Linked DNA regions of Canis lupus familiaris. The protein of the gene in region 1 purifies or fractionates together with the protein of each later gene. This does not show direct contact. Links are inferred from orthologs where the notes say so. Each region holds a gene or a part of one and is shown on either strand. Other genes may lie near its edges.

Region 1 (6,607 bases):
AGACTGAGGGATTATACTTGGCAACCCCTAAACCCCATTCTCGGGCACTGTGCTTGGAACATGCTGGTTTAGAGAATGGACCTCTCAGGTACCATGAGGGGTCACGCTCAGCTGAAGCTGGATGATGTATCTGCTTCTTCTCGCATATGAGCATCCAGTTTCCTCCAGGGCTCCAACTGTGGTGATTGGCAGATCTTTCAAATTGGGAAAATCTCCAGGTGCCTCTCCGTGGCTGGGCTGCCTGGCCTTTCCAAGGTTCATTTTCATCCCAGACCCCCCCCCCCCCCCCCCCCCCCACAGTCTGGCAGGAGGAATCTGGCCCATCTGATAAGTAGCAATTGCTGCCTTGGTGCTCAAGGACGGGTCAGGGCTGGGCCTTGCCCTGAAGGGCTTTTAAAACCTTGGCTGCTCTAATGATGAAAGCTAAAGCTGAAGACCCTCTGGGAGCACGAAATTGAAATATCTTGGGCAGGAAGCAATGCTGTGCTCCCAGATGGAACATGCATGTTTTTTTAGATGATTTCCTCAGAGTCAGGGGTGAAAATACCAGTGGGAAAAGAAAGAAGGGAACTGAGCCTCAGTGGAATACAGTCAGTCATGGAGCAAAGGTGAACACATCTGCAACTCTGTACCGGTCGGTCCCCATCTCCTGCCGCCTGTTTGGCATTCCCTCTCAGGCTGGTACCCAGGCACCGAAATTGGTTCCTCCCTTCTGCCTGAGGCTCAGCCCTTTCCCTTTGCTTTATTCATCCTTATGGGCCACACAACTGGTACCTGAGTACCCATCACCACGCTGTGCAGCCACTGATGCATGCCTCTTCCCCCACCCTCCACTCCCTCCTGCTCTCAACAACCACACTTCTTCTAACATGTACTTGGAAGAGGGTCTAAATTAGGGGATCTTCCCTCTCCAATCTTTCCTACACATACATCATTCAATGTTCCTTTTTCCTACTACAGATATTCCCCATGACCTAAACTGGGTCAGGTACCAATACCGTAACTTGTGACTACTGTAATTTTGTGTCTCAGCCAGCTCCACTTTCTCCAAGCAGTAATGTCTTAAAGTACAGTCTTATTTGCCATTGTAGGTTTTGTCTAAGTATGGAATAGATCAGCACAATTCCAACCCCTTCCCACGTGACTAACATTATTAAATCCCGACGGCAAGTTTTGCTAGTCTGGCTGGTTCCTTGAATCTTGGCTCCACCATCTACTAGCTGCGTTACCTAACCTCTTGCTACTTCACATGTAGTCCCAGCAGACCAAGAGCACGAGCTGGAAGTTTGCTAAAAAATGCAGGATCTAAGCTCCACTTCAGACCTACAGATTTGGATCTACATCTTACTATCTACATGTGATTCATGTCCACACTTAAGTCTGAGAAGCAGGAGCCCAATCTCAGCTTGCTGCCTCACTTATGATAGGATTTTATCACCACTCATCAATCCAGGAATTAAGTGAAACAGCCAAACCACTTAGCACAGTGCATGGCACAAAGAAGCCACTTGAAGTGTTGATCAAATGATTGGGTGATCCCCTGCCAGCCTCCTCCATCCCCAGTTGGCCTTAAATAAGCAGACTAGTATTTACTGTGATACAGAAGCCAGCCTGACATTTAAAATAGAAACATCACTTTTATTGACAAGTTAGGACCACAACAGACAGCTTCCACAACAGAAATAAGACAGTCCCAAGACAACGGAGTGTAAAATTGTAGCGGACAGGTTAATACTCTTCACCCTCATCCTCTCCCTCAGCACTATCCGCTCCAACCTCCTCATAATCCTTCTCCAGGGCAGCCATGTCCTCACGGGCCTCAGAAAACTCTCCTTCCTCCATGCCCTCACCCACATACCAGTGAACAAAGGCACGCTTGGCATACATCAGGTCAAACTTGTGGTCCAGGCGAGCCCAGGCCTCAGCAATGGCTGTGGTGTTGCTCAGCATGCACACAGCTCGCTGTACTTTGGCCAGGTCTCCACCGGGTACCACAGTGGGAGGCTGGTAGTTAATGCCCACTTTGAAGCCAGTGGGGCACCAGTCCACAAACTGGATGCTGCGCTTGGTCTTGATGGTGGCAATGGCAGCATTGACATCTTTGGGAACCACATCACCACGGTACAACAGGCAGCAAGCCATGTATTTACCATGGCGAGGGTCACATTTCACCATCTGGTTGGCTGGCTCAAAGCATGCATTGGTGATCTCTGCTACGGTAAGCTGTTCATGGTAGGCTTTCTCAGCAGAGATGACAGGGGCATATGTGGCCAGAGGGAAGTGGATGCGGGGATAGGGCACCAGGTTGGTCTGGAACTCCGTCAGATCCACATTCAGGGCTCCATCAAATCTGAGGGAAGCCGTGATGGAGGACACAATCTGGCTAATAAGGCGGTTAAGGTTAGTGTAAGTTGGGCGCTCAATATCGAGGTTTCTACGACAGATGTCATAGATGGCCTCATTGTCTACCATGAAGGCACAATCAGAGTGCTCCAGGGTGGTGTGGGTGGTGAGGATGGAGTTGTAGGGCTCTACGACAGCTGTGGACACCTGGGGGGCAGGGTAGATGGAGAACTCTAGCTTGGACTTCTTGCCATAATCGACAGAGAGACGTTCCATCAGCAGGGAGGTGAACCCAGAACCGGTTCCCCCGCCAAAGCTGTGGAAAACCAAGAAGCCCTGAAGACCCGTGCACTGGTCAGCCTGCAAAAAGAAAAGTTAATTTTAGCCTTGGTGAAAGCTGCAAGGACCTCTCTGAACCCGTAATTATATTGGTAGAGATTTTTTTTTTTAATTTTAGGTTTTTTATTTATCTAAGTAATCTCAACACCCAATGTAAGGCTCAAACTCAGGACTTTGAGGATCAAGCGTCACATGTTCTGACCGAACCAGCCAGGTGCCCGATGGAGATCTTTTTTAATCTTCCAAACAAGACTGAACAATATTTGCCAAGAAAGCGATAGTAGTGAGCTTCTAAGTGCTAAAATTCAGAGAAACTTCACAATTCCTAGGGGTGAAAATCTGCTATATCAGCTATTTGAAAATGAACTATTTTCATTTCTGCAGACAAAGGAATCGTGAGGTCTGGGATGGATGCAAGGCCAAAGTTTTAGTTAACTAGAAAGGCAACCTCTGGTGCCCTTGCTGTGACTGCAGAACAAGGGTAACTTCTCACAGTTGGAGAGCCACCAAGGGCAGGCCCGAGACCACCAGCCCCACACAATAAAGGTCTTATAAAACTCTGGCGGCTACTTTTTGAGCTGGAATAGGAGAACAGCCGAGTTCCAATGCCCTGGTGTTGGAGGCTGGCTGGGTCTGGATCCGGCTCCACCAGTTCCTTGCTGTGTGACTTTGACCAAGTTTAGTTCTCAATCTCAGTTTTCGCATTTATTAATTAGAATAGTAACCTACCTCAGGTTGTCGAGAACGATGGGAGTCAGCAGAAAGCCTATTGACTGATTCTGCAAAAGGTAACGTGCAGTCCTGCGAGACCTAGTGTCCCTGGGGCTTTCCACCACTTAACTGAGCCATTCTGATAAGCGAACTGCTGTTCTAAGAAAGGATAATCTTGACTTTTCTGCTGACAATCGTCACTTCTCGAAAGTGCTGAGATTTGTGGAATTCTCTACCAATCGCTCAGTTACTTCTCCTGTGGGTCCACACTCTGAATGGGATCAATGTACAGGGCAGACTCCAGTCTACCAATTAAATCCACTAAGCGTCCTATGGACACAGTAACAACACCAAGGACAAATACAATTGTTTTGGTAATCAGCTTTACTCCAGAACCCTTCATGGGTTTTACTCAGTTTATTTGTCCCTAAAGGCAGGTCCTGATTTCCAAGTCAGTGCTCGTAGCTGAAGCTTGATTTGTACACATAGGAACCATTACCCCAATTTTGCTAGGACAACTATGATAAACATCTGGAAAAGTCTCAAGTTGTGAATGATGCAAGGCCATTCTTTTCAGACTAGACCAGTTGTGGCTAGGCTTAGAATGTGACTTTCCTGACAAGCTACTCTACCCAAGCCTTTATTCTTAATTTTTGGTTAATTACTTACAAGCTGCCCACATGCCTGAGGAGCAAAGAGCCATCTGATTGCCAGACTTAATTAAAATGATCCAAACAAAACACTTATCAACTTTACTGATGTGAATACTGTGGCCCAAGATTTTTCTGACACGGTGCCAGTCCACATGGCCCTGAGCTCTAGTGGAAAAGCAAGTCGACTGTTTTCTGTGATTATATTTCAATACTTTCCAAGTTTCAATGATTGACACTAGCCTCTAATAGGGGAGCTCTCTTGATTCCACTTTCATTGTGGTTGGAAGTTTCCAGCATGTGCCATTTCTAGTCAGCATTATACTAGCTTCTTGTGCTCTGAACTTTCTGTATTAATGTAAGGCACCAAATGTAACGTAATCCGTTTTTTTGGAGTCTGATCGATTAGTTACATGTCAGTCTGCCACCTATTCAATGTGACTAAGAGGACCTAACAGGGGCATCTGAACTTGAAGCAGGGAAGTTAATTATTATGAACAAAGATGTTTAATAGTCTTAAATATCAATACAACTGTTAAAAGGCTCTCTGGTTCTCACCTTGACTTTAGGTAAATTGCCCCAACTTCCTTGAGCAATTGCCAAGTCTGCCTTATAAGACATAGAAATAGGCAAGGGAGCACTTAACTCTGCCCCAAATACTTATCCCATAACCCAGGACCATCTGGTTTAAAATCTCGTAAGCACTCAAAGGGTCATTTTAGTGTGCGAAAGGAGGACTCCTCTGGTGTGGTCTCTCTTAAAGCTGTAAGAGAAAACTCTCATCCCACTCTAAATAAAACAATGTTTACCAGCTTCCGAATTCGGTCCAAGACAAGGTCAATGATCTCCTTGCCAATGGTGTAGTGCCCTCGGGCATAGTTATTGGCAGCATCTTCCTTGCCTGTGATGAGCTGCTCAGGGTGGAAGAGCTGGCGGTAGGTGCCAGTGCGAACTTCATCTGGAAAAGGAAAACAAGGTGGCCACCCATCACTAACAACCTGCATGACCCTGCTCACCCCCAGGCTGTCTGTCAATGGAGCCTCAGACAGACCTCCTGCCCCAGTGCCCCGGGAGCTCACTTGGGTTACTGAGGCCAACTCACCAATGACTGTGGGCTCCAGGTCTACAAACACTGCCCTGGGCACATGCTTGCCAGCGCCCGTCTCACTGAAGAAGGTGTTGAAGGAGTCATCTCCTCCCCCAATGGTCTTGTCACTTGGCATCTGGCCATCGGGCTGAATGCCGTGTTCCAGGCAATAGAGCTCCCAGCAGGCATTGCCGATCTGGACACCTGCCTGGCCAACGTGGATGGAGATGCACTCACGCTGTGGCAAGAAGAAAGGAAAATGTCAGAATATGACAGATCAGATGGGACATTCAGGAATGATTCATACCTAAGTGACTAATTAACCTTCAGGATAGATCATCACCTTTCTGGAAGTCACTCCTGCCCAAGGTTTATTTCACAAGCAACAGCCATTGCTGACTAATTCAGAGAAAATGCTTTGCAAAACCAAAGATATGTTAATGAACTACTAGGCAAGACCAGAGATCAGACCCTTGCTTTGTAGTCACATTAGATATTCAAGGTCAGGTTTCTCCCATTTTAGAAAGACTTAAGCCAGTTCTATAGCAATGCATTTCCCCCAGCTCCTGGGAAATATGCCTGCTGATTCCTTAAAGTCATGCAAAATTCCCCCTTTCCAGCTCTGATTCATTCTGTGTGATTGTGCAACCGTTGAGCTCATTCTGGTCCCTCTTTAATCCTATTCTTTAAAAGACAAGAGCTTCTCCCTCTCCCTCTAAAACCAGCTTAAACCAGCAAACTACAGCCATATGACTCATGGAGAAAATGCCAGATAAGCAGCAGTTAGCTGTATTTTAAAAACTGTGGTCAGAGGCAGCTTTTTTAGCCCCGTGGAAGAACTCAACCTTAAGGAAGAACATTCTTCCTTCACTATCAACACCTCTTGATTAGGCAAGGTTGGAGACAGATGGTAATAAAAGCCAGAAGACCTGAGTAATAGCTTAAGAAATTAGTTTTCCTACCCAAACATACATACGTAGATCTCTAGCACTGTGGGAAGAATTCTGTGGTGTCAAGAACTTAATGATATTGGGAAAATGTTTGTTTTCCTTTACTTGATGAGCAAGATCATTTATAAGTTACCAAACTCATTCCTGCCTAGTAAAATAAGGCCACGAAGACAGAATCTATGCCCCCAGATTTAAGAGGAAAATGAAAAATGGGAGTTTATTGTATCTCATTGTAAGTAGCTTTGGAGACCAACAGAGGACTTTCAAAATATTAACACCAAATATCTCCCTTCACATTTTCCCAATAAGAGGGCTTCAAAGTTTTTTTAAAGCTGCTAACAGGAAACTAGAGAAAACTCAACACCACTCAAAGATCTCAAAGGGCCTAGTTTAATAACCTGAGATAATAAAAATCCCAATCACCCACAACCTTTGACTTCTCATCCCCTCCTTCCCGCCTACACTCCTCATAAAACACCCATGGTCTCCTGACCACATCACCTGGCTCATTACCTGCATCTGCTCGC
Region 2 (5,947 bases), on another chromosome or scaffold:
CTAATTTGTACATAAATTGTGATGCAGTTTCTCAGAGGTTAAATGAAAATCATTTAGGTAGAGACCTTGAAAAATACGTTGTTGGCTCAACTCTGTTCTATACTGAAGCAAAGTTTGTTTTGTAGATGTATATGTAAAACCTCACTGCACTTAAACTTTACCACATCATTATTCAGTCGTTCCTGCTTTATTTCTCTTCTGGTTTAAACAAAGAAGCACTATCAATTTATGTCACTAGGTAGAACTCCAACTACTCATTACTCTCTGGTCTTAAAGACTTGTTTTTGCTTTGTTGTAGTGAAGCACAAACTAAATCAGAAGCACCTAACCTTTGTTCTAAGTAATATTTGAGTGGTGTGACTATAACCTATTGAAAATTCAATTTTAAAAGATTTCAATAAGGGATGTCTTGGTGGCTTAGTCAGTTAAAACGTCCAACTCTTGATTTCAGCCCAGGTTTATGATCCCAGGATTGTGAGACAGAGCCCTGAGTCGGGCTCTCACCGAACACACAGCCTGCTTAATATTCTCCCTCTCTGCCATCCCCTCCCCTCCCTCCCTCAATCAATCAATCAATAAAAACATTTAAGTAAAAATTCTTTTTTTTTTTAAGATTTAATTTATTAGAGACAGAGAGGCAGAGGGAGAAGCAGGCTCCATGCAGGGAGACCGATGTGGGACTCAATCCCCGGTCTCTAGGATCACGCGTGGGCTGAAGGCAGCACCAAACCGCTAAGCCACCAGGGCTGCCTTAAGTAAAAATTCTTAAGTGTAACACAAAATGTTTGGTTGTCAGAACTCTTTGTAGAGTACAAATTATACACTTGCTAGAATTTTTTAAAATGAGAGAAGAAACTTTACCTTTTTTCTCCCCCCAACTTTGCAAACTTTCTCCCTAGCACCAAGGCTGAACTGTACCATTTAGAAGAATGGAAGCTAATGCATCTGTTGACATGTTTTCAAAAGTCCTGGAAAATCAATTGCTTCAGACCACCAAACTAGTAGAAGAACATTTGGATTCTGAAATTCAGAAACTGGATCAGATGGACGAGGATGAATTGGAACGCCTCAAAGAAAAGAGACTTGAGGCGTTAAGGAAAGCTCAACAGCAGAAACAAGTAACCTCTCTGCCCTGCTTTCTGAAATTACTTTAACAGTATGCTCCTAACAACTTATATATACATGTGCTGAAGTACTTTTATATTTCAGTCCTCATTTCTAGAGTTGTTTTCATTTTTTGCTTCAGAGTACTATCACTGTTAAAAATGTGCTGGGAAAAAAAATAGTTTTAAAGCGCATTAAAAATTAGTTTGTTCAGTATGTTAATCTACAGTCGAGTAAAAGAAACATGCACCCAAGATCGTGTTTTGAGCTCAGATTGGTTGGTTGAGGAGAGAGTGGCCTAGGTAGAGCATAGGAAGCACTGTCAGTGGTTTTCCTTTTAGGTGATTAATTGTAAAGCCAGTTATAATTTAGCTGTACTCATTGTAAGTGAGGCGAGAGCTGTAAGGCCATTGACATGGTGGAAATTATTTCAGGCATTTCCATTGTAACATTTACATGGCTTATTTGTTCAAAAGAATGCATGCTGGGTCACCAAAGAAGGGTGGCCACAACTCTATTCTTGTTGGTCTCTTAGAGTATGAGTGTGGAAAAGACTCTAATCAAAACATTGGGTTAAATTCTGTTTTTGATTTAAAAATGTTTGCATTGCTTTATGTTACACTGTAATAGATTATTATCAGTTCTTATTCCTCTTCAGTTGGCTGTGAATAAAAAAACTTTCTAACTTTTCTAAAGAAACAGGGCTTCTTTGTGCTCCCTGTAGCATCTGTTTGATAATGTTTATACTCGGTATTTATAAGAATTGCTAAAAGGAAAGAATCGTCTATAGTGTGCCTGAGTTTCTATTTTTATATCTTGAGTTTTCTAGAATAGGGGTTGTGTGTGTGTCTATATATGGTTTTGAAGCCAGGAGACTTTTTTAAATATAATGCTAATAATTAAGGTAATGTATGATGAGATTCTGCTACAAACTCCTATTTCATGATCACAGTTAAGTAACACTACTTAATAGGCCTGTGCCAATCAATATTCCTCAACCAAGTACCCTCTTACTGTTATGGCAGCTTGTGACATAGGACTTAGGTAGTGAGCAGAAGGACAGGTGAGATATAGGAAGAGCCTATCCAAAAGCTTGGGTTATAGCCACTAAGTGAGAGCTAGATGCTCAGCTGCCAGCCCTTGGGTAGCTTCAGTCTGCACTGTGATCTCTGCTCATCCTGCTAAATTCCATTCGGCAGATGCCCTGTGGAGCATGAACTCTTTTTTTTTTTTTTTTTTGCATGAACTCTTTAAAAGAGTACAGGGGTGTGCTGAGTGTCTTGGGAAAGATGCCCTGTGTTGGAGGTTCAGAGTAGGCTTGCCTCCGAGGGAACTTCAAAAGGTTCAAGTTTTCCACCTGTTGGTTAAACATATGAGAATTAATAAAAAGAGCTTTTTAAAAAACAAAGAAACACTTTTTTTTTTTTAAGGGTAATGTTATTAGTAAGTCAAGAAAAGTCATGAAATATTACATGCCATTAACGAATTGTATTTGAGAGTTTAAATTGTTTATAAAAGCTTGACCAAAGAAATGTCACATAAGGAGAAAACACCAGGGCTTCCTGTGAGCATCAGCTTAGCATAAGTCCATGTGAAAGGGATTCCAAAGTTCTTAATACAGCCTGTATTAGCTTAAGTCCAGAGGAAGAAAGGAGATGGCACTCCTGCCACCTTCTCAGTGGACCATTTCTGGAGGGCTGCCTATAGACTTCTGAAACCTTTTAAAGGGAAAGTGGGAAATTAGTTCAGAGGAGGATAATCAATAAGAGTAAGAGATGTAAAAAAAAAAAAAAAAGAGTAAGAGATGTAGCAATCATTTCATACGAGAAACGGCCAAAAGAAAATGGAGAGGTAGAAAAGAAAGGACATAGGTGAGACAGAATGTCTGAAGGGCTAACATATAAAAGACATTAGAACTTTTCTCTCTAATCTTAGGTCCAAGCTGGCATCCACAGACCAAAGTTACAGATATATTGCAGTTCAGTGTGAGAAGACCCTTCAAAAAATGAGAGAGTATACATGCAACTGGTTTTGAAGCACCTGTGCCAGACACTGTTAGAGATATTTTCATGTAGACAGTCTTACTTTCACAATTCAGTGAGATAGTTGCTTTGTGATCTCCACTTTACAAATGAGGAAATGGAGACTCAAAAGACTATTAAAATTCTTAGCCTAATAAGTGGTAGAATAATTACTCAAACCCATGCCTTCTACCTGCAAGCCCAATGCTCTTTTTATTAAAACCAGCTGCCTAAAAAAAAGGAAGCAAGCTTCCAATTGAGATGATGAACCTTTCCAGTAGCAGGAAGCTTGAGAATCAAAGGTCTGTCAGGCATGGTTGGTACATTGGGTTGAGAAGTTGAGTTAGATGACTCATGGGATCTGTATTGTTTCTGGACATCATGTGAGAAGACAATATTTTCTTCCTATGATACTATCCCATTGGTGGCCAGAATAGAAGCTCCTACTGCTCTGAGCAAACAGGGCTTTTGAGCTGCAGAGCTGCAGTAACCAACCCCCCTTCTCCCCTACAAAGACCAAGTAGCTTTATCTGATGAGCATAATTTTTCAAAGCTTTGCAGTAACTTAGACCTAATGCTTCTGACTTTAGTTGAGTGCAGAGAAATTAAATGGATATTTACATTTTAAGTCTCCTGAATCTAAATTTTTAAAGTTCTAAGAAAACATGTATGAAGTTACCATGGATTGTCTTAAACACAAACCATGCTGAGAGATAGTCCCTGCTCAGAGACTGTTTGCACTTGACAGTAGAGGCATAGGAGAGTAAATAAGAGGAATTGATTTCTCTACAAGATAAAATCAACTTCATTACAGGATATTATAGTGATTTAGAGACAAAATGTAAAGTACTGAAAAATATGTCAAGTATGTAATATTTCCCTTTTCTCCAAATTAGGAATGGCTTTCAAAAGGACATGGGGAATACAGAGAAATCCCTAGTGAGAGAGACTTTTTTCAAGAAGTCAAGGAGAGTAAAAAAGTGGTTTGCCATTTCTACAGAGACTCCACATTCAGGTAACTTTGTTTCCACCAGTGAGTTGTTTAAAATGATGAGATCTTTGAGTAGAAATACACTAATTTAATAGAAAATTTTCAGAAATTAGAGGGACTACTTTTTAAGTTGTTTCTTGGTACTTCTGTAAAAGTCTGTTAAACAGTTGCTATGTTGAAGATTAACTTAAAACCCATTACACTCTTTCTCAGCATGCAGCTCATGGGGAGACCATAGTTTGGCCAAGCCTTTCATTAGAAGCATCGTTGGGAGTGCCAGACTTGGCTGGAGGAGAGGAAAGTGATTTCTTTTGGATAGCCCAGATCTACAAGCCTCTCTATGGAGGCAGAGTCCTTGTAAAATAAAAATACCCCTAGAAAAGGTTATATCTTAACTCAACCCTTTCTTTAACTCTCAAATTTGATTAGTTGCCAACTTTGAAAAATTGAGAGATACAATTAAAAAAAAAATCCAGATTTCAGATTTTTTAAAAAATCAAATAACTTAATAGGAGGCCTAGAATTCAGTAGGAAAGCAGTTTGCTGATACTGAATAGTAGCTGCCTCCCTAGACAGACACATATTCCAGTGTAGAGTCTCCATCATTCACTGTTGTCTCCACCCTGCCCTCTCCTCCCATTTCCATAACCTGCTCAGCCTTTGTCTTTAACTCACCATCCAGTAACATGGTTACTAATTAACATCTTTCAAGGATTGCCTGCCTGAGATTTACTGATTAAGGTAATATAAATGAAAGAAGAAAAAACAATTTAAAAAAAATTTTTTTTAAATGAAAGAAAATGTTGAGATGGTGAAATCCCTGTAAAGGAAGGTATGGGAATGGATTAGGAAAGAAAAGGGTAGGGGCAGCCTGGGTGGCTCAGCAGTTTAGCGCCGTCTTCAGTCCAGGGCCTGATCCTGGAGACCCAGGATCGAGTCCCACGTCAGGGTCCCCGCATGGAGCCTGCTTCTCCCTCTGCCTCTCCCCTACCCCCCCAATGAATAAATAAATCTTTAAAAGGGAAGAAAAGGGTATTAGAGAAACCCTCTGTCACTGTGGTACTCTATCCTCTCCTATTGGCACACATTTCTCAAGTTGCCAACTTCTGACATACATGGTGAGGTGATACGTTACTATTAGTCTCTAAGATTGATACCATTTGATGTTTATTAGATGTTTTTGACCACTAGATTGTTTTGTGACAGCAGAGAATTTGCCTGTATCATGGTTCACCATGCTCCCAGGAGCAGCAATGGCTGACACATAGTAGGTGCTCAGTAAATATATTTGATGGATGTATAAACAGTGCAAAACAGTGCAACTCCAGGAATACTTACCTTCAAGCAAAAATGAAAACTCAAGAGGTACCTGGCTGGCTCAGCCAGTAGAACATCTGACTCTTGAGCCCCTTGTTGGGTATAGGGATTGCTTAAAAAATAGAAAAAAGGAAAACAAAAAAAATCATTAGAAAATTTCATATACAATTCTAATACAGATTTCAGAATTCTTGGCATATAGTAGACTGGATATTCCGTGTATAAAACCCTGGAACAGGGCAGCCCGGGTGGCTCAGCAGTTTAGCACTACCTTCAGCCCAGGGTGTGATCCTGGAGTCCTGGGATCAAGTCCCACATTGGGCTCCCTGCATGGAGCCTGCTTCTTCCTCTGCCTGTGTCTCTGCCTCTCTCTCTGTGTCTCTCATGACTGAATAAATAAATAATTACATCTTTTAATTATTGTGGTGGGGAGAGGATGATCCTGGGAACTGGGGAATTTCTCCCCCTTCAGAATCCAACCATCAAACACCTTCCAACAGAAAACACAGACATA
Region 3 (5,947 bases), on another chromosome or scaffold:
TTATATTTAATCAAGGCTTCTGCCATTGCCACTTCCACTGCACCCGCACCCGGAACTACACAGCCTGTTGGGGGTGGGAAGGAAGGAGAGAAATGATCAACTACGAAGAAAATAAAACTGTGGAATCATTAAGAAAATACATAAAACACAAACATAAAAAGCATTAATTTCTTGAGAATGTGGAATAGCCACAATATTGCATTTGAAAACACTATAAGCAACACATTATATTTCTAAAATATTATATATTAGAAATATAGATTTCTCTGGAAGAAAAACATTAAATAGCAAAATGCTTCAATTTAACTAGTACTTGGAAGGTTACTATTAGTTCATTTTCTTCTATCACTTTTTTTAAAAAAGATTTTATTTATTTATGAGACAGAGAGAGAGAGAGAGACAAGAGACCTAGGTAGAGGGAGAAGCAGGTTCCCCTTAGGGAGCCCAATGTGGGATTTGATCCCTGAACTCCAGGATTGCGCCCTGAGCCAAAGGCAGACAGTTAACCACTGAGTCACCCAGGTTACCTACTTGTATTCACTTTTAAAAATGATATGCTATGAAAAAGCTTAGCACACCATTAGAGGCATTTTAAAGGGAACACTTTACTTTTGCATGGTGTCTGGCTGTGTAAACTACTGATAAAAAGAACACAGTATTCAGCCATGCTTTTTTTATACTTGTAAAAGAATATAAACACAGTAAGCATCTTACCATCATCAATAGCATTTTTAACAGCCCTCAAGCCATCTCTTATTGCATCTTTGATTTGAGTGAGTGTGTGCTTATTTGGTCCTTTGATCAATAATGTGACAGAGCGAGGATTGTTACACTTCTCAATGAAAGTGAATTTCTCTTCTCCCTATGTGAAAAAGAGGTATTTTCAAAATAGGGTATGTTTGTACCAAGACTGGGAACGACTAGAGGAGCTTATAAAAGAGTAAGTAACATATTAAAAAGGGAACAACATACCCATCACATTAAAGCAAATTACTTCATAAAAAAAGGTCACATATAAAAGCAATGTGATTTTCCCCATCAATGCCTTATCATTACTACACATAACCTTCAAAATGTATGTAAACAAAGCAAGAATATGATCCTAGGTTTGAATGAATTTTTTTTTACTACCGAAGAATTCAAGAACCAAAGAACATTATCATATTATCTTCAGAAAAGAAATACACTTACCAACGTATACTCATAGACAAGTCCTGCATGTCCCAAACAATCAGGATTTAGGTCATCGAAAGAATTTAGAGCTACTCCACCACAAGCAAGAGTCAGCCTGAAATATTGAAGTATTTTAAAGGAGACATATTAAGTAGCTTTGTTATGTTTAAAGAGATTAATAATTTTTAGGAAGCAATCTTTCAGAATTACACACTAAAATTAAATATGCCAAAATGTTATTTTAACTCAAACCTTCAAATTCACCACCACCAAGTTAAAAACCATCTTTTATCCTAACTTGACATTTAACCCACTCTTTCAAAGTCCACAAATACTCTTCTGATAAGAAATCTATAAATAAAACAAGAATTCTTTACCGTGGTGAGCTCTGGGGGAAAAAGCAGTTCTTTGAAACCCCTTGATGCTGTCTCTTGACATAGTAAATGTACATATACATGTCATGGTTTAAAACTAAAGCATACACCAATGTTCACAGCATTATCCACAACAGCCAAAAGGGAGAAACCTAAATGTCCACTGATAAATGAAAAGGTGATAGATATATCCATACAAATGGAATATTATTCATCCTTAACAAGAACAACATTCTAATACATGTTACAACATGGATGAACTCTGAAAACATGCTAAATAAAATAAGCCACACAACAGGACAAATACTGCATGATTCCCTTATATAAGGTACCAATATCATAAAGGCAAAGTAGAAAAGTATTTACTAGGGGGAGGGAAAAGAAAGAGAAAGTTATTGTTTCATTCATGAGAGAATTTCAGTTTGGGAAGATAAAAAAAAAAAAAAGAAAAAGTTCTGGAGATGAATGATGATGGTTGTTGCACAATAACGTGAATGAAACCTAATGCCACTGGATTGTACATCTGAAAAGATAAGCCAAATAATAAATTATATATATTTTTCATTCACAATAAAAAAGGAAAAACTTAGTAGGAACAAGAAAAAGTAGTAATTCCACGTAACTTACAAACTAAGTAAAAATTTACATATCTAAGGTAATATGTTATCCATACCTTTCCATATTTCTCCTTTTAGCTCTACGTAGAGCTACTATGCCTTCTTTCGCAAGAGCATCTAAGGAAAAGGGGTCGATTCCCTACAACAAAAACAGTTCGTTACAATAGAAGTCATCTTAAAAATAGCAATGCACAATACAGACTCATTTATGAAGCAAAATTTCATTCTCACCTTTTGATTAATAACAACAAATCCTTTATCTGAATCACCACAGACTTTCTTTTTCAGTTCTATTATTTTTTTAACTCTATCTTCAATGAATTTTCTTTCAGCTTTTACGAGTTTCTCTCTCTCTTCTGCACTCTTGTAAAAAAACCCAGAATTCACTTCTCTATTTAAAAAAAAAAAAGTTATGGGGGAGGAAGGACAATGTTTATTTTTTAAGGAGATAAACCAGCAGCCTCAGAAACTGTGTTAGTCTTGAGACTTAACAGACAGCCACTGAGTTCCAATCCTGCCCCTGGTATGTTTTCAAAGGTTACTTCCTTTAATTCACCCGAACCCAACTGAGGCGTTAGTGTCCTTGCAGTGGTGAAACTTAAATCTCAAAGTGACTTGCCCAAAGTACCAAGCTCCTCCACCTCCCTATTCCATTTGTATGGCCTGTAAACTCACGTTTTTTCATACTCTAAGGACACATTGCATGTGAGGATGTATGCATCTTCTACTCTTTTTTTCATATCAGGATGCCGTGCCCCATGGTCCAAAACAAGACCTCTGATTAAGCTGTTGAAACACGTAACAAATTGTTTCGTTATTGATTTCCAAATGATACATAATATATACTAACAAAATTCACATAACTGAATTGAAGCTGCATTAATAATTTTCACATGACTTTATTACTTGAGTCTTTGAAAAAGACTGTTTGGATGAAACCTAGGCAGGTTCGATTATGAAAAAGCAATATCCAGAACACAGTACAAAAACAAGCCATTCAAAATAAAAGTAGTAACTCTTATCTTGTACAGAAAATTCTGCAGAGAGGCAGCTGCAACTGGTAGCCTCTCAAATTGTGATCACCTCCTTTTAAAATGACTTTTGAACTATGTTTTTAAAATGGAATATATATTTTAGAAATTTCCCAATAGTCTATTATGCTTTGTAACCCACAGTTCAATAAATCACTGACATAGCTCATTTTTTTACAGTCATTCTGACTATAAGCACATCATTAGTAACTTCAAGATGAAACACAATTGAGCAAACTAAATATTCATTTAGGCAATACACACAAATTCAAAGAAAAGGAAATCAGCCAAAAAACATGTACTGTATAAAGTGCCTATAAATTTGTAAACACATTGTGTAAATATTTCATAGCATCCTATCACCTACCTTGTATCAGTTTCAGATTTATGTTTCATCTCCATGATTTCAACCATGAAGAGATCAATAGGTTCATCTGGTTTTTTAATGGCCAAAATCGAGTCCACTACAGCCTACAATGAGAGCATAACCATTAAATGATCTTGATTTGCAGAAGTCCACATGCTTACGTTGCTTTTCTTCAGAGAAGTTCACTTTTCTTTAAAAATCTCTGAATTGACCTAAGCCTTTTTCTTCGAGGTAACAGAATACATTATTTGTAAAGGATTGAAATCATTTACGTTTCTGACATCTCAACTTATAATTATGTATAAAGAATCACGGACATCCCTACTATTCTATTAAAAATATCAATGAACCTTTTTATAATGAAATCTCAATTTTATTAATCTTTAATGAAAGCTCCAATTGTATTTTCATAACACGGTCAGGTATACTATTATTTTAGGAACACAAATCTGCTGCTCTTTGCCACAAAAAAAAACTATTTCACATGGCATGATACTGTGAAGGTTTTAGATAGCACCTTGCAATTCCAACTAGAAAATACACCAGGGGTTTTTAGTATAGGTGTATACTACCAGACACATACCACACTTAACATACCTCTGTTAAGACATCAGCAAGTTCAGCATGCACTTTTGTACGTAGAGATGTTCTGGCCACATCTATAAGTGTTTCCCTGTCCATTTCTTTGCTTACTTTGACTTGTTCCAAAAACTGAAGTGCCTTTTCCTTTGCAGCTTCAAATCCTTCTGTTATTATTCTGGGATGAAGACCCTATAAACATACAATCACATAATCACCACTAACACTGGAATTCTTCAATCAGATGTTAAAGTAAGTTTTAAAGGAATATTCTAGATTATTCACATGCTTGAATATAATGTGCTGACTTTTTGAATACATTTAAAAGGATAAATAGTCCTTTCAATGCAGAGGAAAAGAACAGACATTGCTCTAGCACAGAATCAAAGCCAAGGGAACTATAAAGTACACTTGGGTGTTCACTGTGCAGACCACAGGGAACGTCTAAAACTCAAAACTGTACTCAATAGGACCATTTATCTTTTCAATTTACATCAATTACTAACAAAACAGAGGCAAAGGGTCTGCCTTTTCTCTCTGCCCAAGATTTTCTTAGAATTGGATCACTACTGAGGTTTGCTTTAATCTTCAAACTACTCAAGGCTAAAAATATTCTGTAATTCTTAATTAAACTTGTTTTAGTTGGTTTTCCTTATAAATATGCCTACTCCTGAACATCCTGTTTCTAGATCTCAACTAATAAGCTGTTACAGACATATGTAAATAAATAATATGTAATACAACTTGACCAAAAAAACCTCTGCAGGCCAAGGAAGTTTCCTTAATCTGTCCAGGATCACAATAAACTTGTATTAAGACCAGGATATAGGCTCTGGTTCCTAGATTTAAGCCCCCTACTCTTTACCTTGTACTATCTGGCCTCAGCTACTATTAACACCTCAATTTATAGAAATTTCCGGCAACACAAGAATCATGTATACTTCAGAAATGTAGAGATCCGCCTGTTTCAGTAGCTCTCCAATGATTAGGACATTGGATGTGGTACCATCACCAGTTATGTCATCCTGGGCTGTTGCTACTTTGGCTATTAGGGAGGCTGTTGGGTGTTGAATTTGCTGAAAGTGGAAAAAAAGAAAAAAAAGAATTACTTCAGTGAAAATACTCCAAATATACTTTAAAGCATGTGAAGGGTCTCCTTAAATGCATCGATTTGCATAAACTGCCCAAGTGTTCAGCTATATACCATGCTGATTTAAAACTCACTATTAACTATTTTGTATATCAATTTATGATAACCCAAATATTTTTACATATAGATTTGAGAAGATTATCTCCACTTTACTGATGAGGAAATCTGAGGCTTACTGTTAAGGTCTACTGAAGGTAACAGAATTAACAGTAAGAAATAATTTCAAATCCATGCATGCTTCTTTAGGACTCTTGGGAGAATAAACCAGGTTCCTTCTAAAATTAAACCCCAGCAGCCTCCAGTATTACTTGGAATTGAATAAAAAAATAAAAAGAAAAAAGTTCTCTTTTAGAGCAAAGATCACTAGTGACAGCTAAATCACTGAGAGGTTTTTAAGAACAGGATATGCACTGTATGCCAAACAATGCTCCCGAACTGTTTTTAGTTTTTAAATCTCCTTATTCTCCTGTAATCCAGAAGAGTTCCACAACCTTTTGTTTTTAGGGAAACTGACAGTTTAAGAATCTAGGCCAGATATTTTGCAAACTATCTCATTTAAATTTGTAGATGATAAATATATTATATGGATAATACTGTATGCTTCTTACTGGGTTCATGTGCTTCTCTGAGTATCTACTGTATTACACAATAAAAAA

Evidence for each region.
Region 2: the proteins of TUBA1C (region 1) and TXNDC9 purify together in Homo sapiens (co-immunoprecipitation; 3 studies listed by BioGRID and IntAct, counting the BioPlex papers as one, with this or other methods). This does not show direct contact. The link is inferred for Canis lupus familiaris from reciprocal best matches to the Homo sapiens genes TUBA1C and TXNDC9.
Region 3: the proteins of TUBA1C (region 1) and CCT6A purify together in Homo sapiens (affinity purification with mass spectrometry; 3 studies listed by BioGRID and IntAct, with this or other methods). This does not show direct contact. The link is inferred for Canis lupus familiaris from reciprocal best matches to the Homo sapiens genes TUBA1C and CCT6A.

Annotation. Positions count from the first base shown.
Region 1 is NC_049248.1:41,310,851-41,317,457, reverse strand, and holds the end of TUBA1C (tubulin alpha-1C chain), read right to left. Parts: intron 5,369-6,607; coding exon 5,146-5,368; intron 5,002-5,145; coding exon 4,853-5,001; intron 2,704-4,852; coding exon 1,729-2,703; 3' UTR 1,618-1,728; downstream 1-1,617. UniProt on the Homo sapiens protein: Tubulin is the major constituent of microtubules, a cylinder consisting of laterally associated linear protofilaments composed of alpha- and beta-tubulin heterodimers.
Region 2 is NC_049231.1:44,393,088-44,399,034, forward strand, and holds part of TXNDC9 (thioredoxin domain-containing protein 9), read left to right. Parts: intron 1-899; 5' UTR 900-929; coding exon 930-1,118; intron 1,119-2,286; exon of another isoform or gene 2,287-2,461; intron 2,462-4,021; coding exon 4,022-4,140; intron 4,141-5,454; exon of another isoform or gene 5,455-5,947. UniProt on the Homo sapiens protein: Significantly diminishes the chaperonin TCP1 complex ATPase activity, thus negatively impacts protein folding, including that of actin or tubulin.
Region 3 is NC_049227.1:460,800-466,746, reverse strand, and holds part of CCT6A (T-complex protein 1 subunit zeta), read right to left. Parts: intron 5,218-5,947; coding exon 5,083-5,217; intron 4,572-5,082; exon of another isoform or gene 4,438-4,571; intron 4,334-4,437; coding exon 4,160-4,333; intron 3,667-4,159; coding exon 3,563-3,666; intron 2,951-3,562; coding exon 2,840-2,950; intron 2,556-2,839; coding exon 2,396-2,555; intron 2,304-2,395; coding exon 2,221-2,303; intron 1,289-2,220; coding exon 1,192-1,288; intron 863-1,191; coding exon 715-862; intron 670-714; exon of another isoform or gene 530-669; intron 65-529; coding exon 1-64. UniProt on the Homo sapiens protein: Component of the chaperonin-containing T-complex (TRiC), a molecular chaperone complex that assists the folding of actin, tubulin and other proteins upon ATP hydrolysis.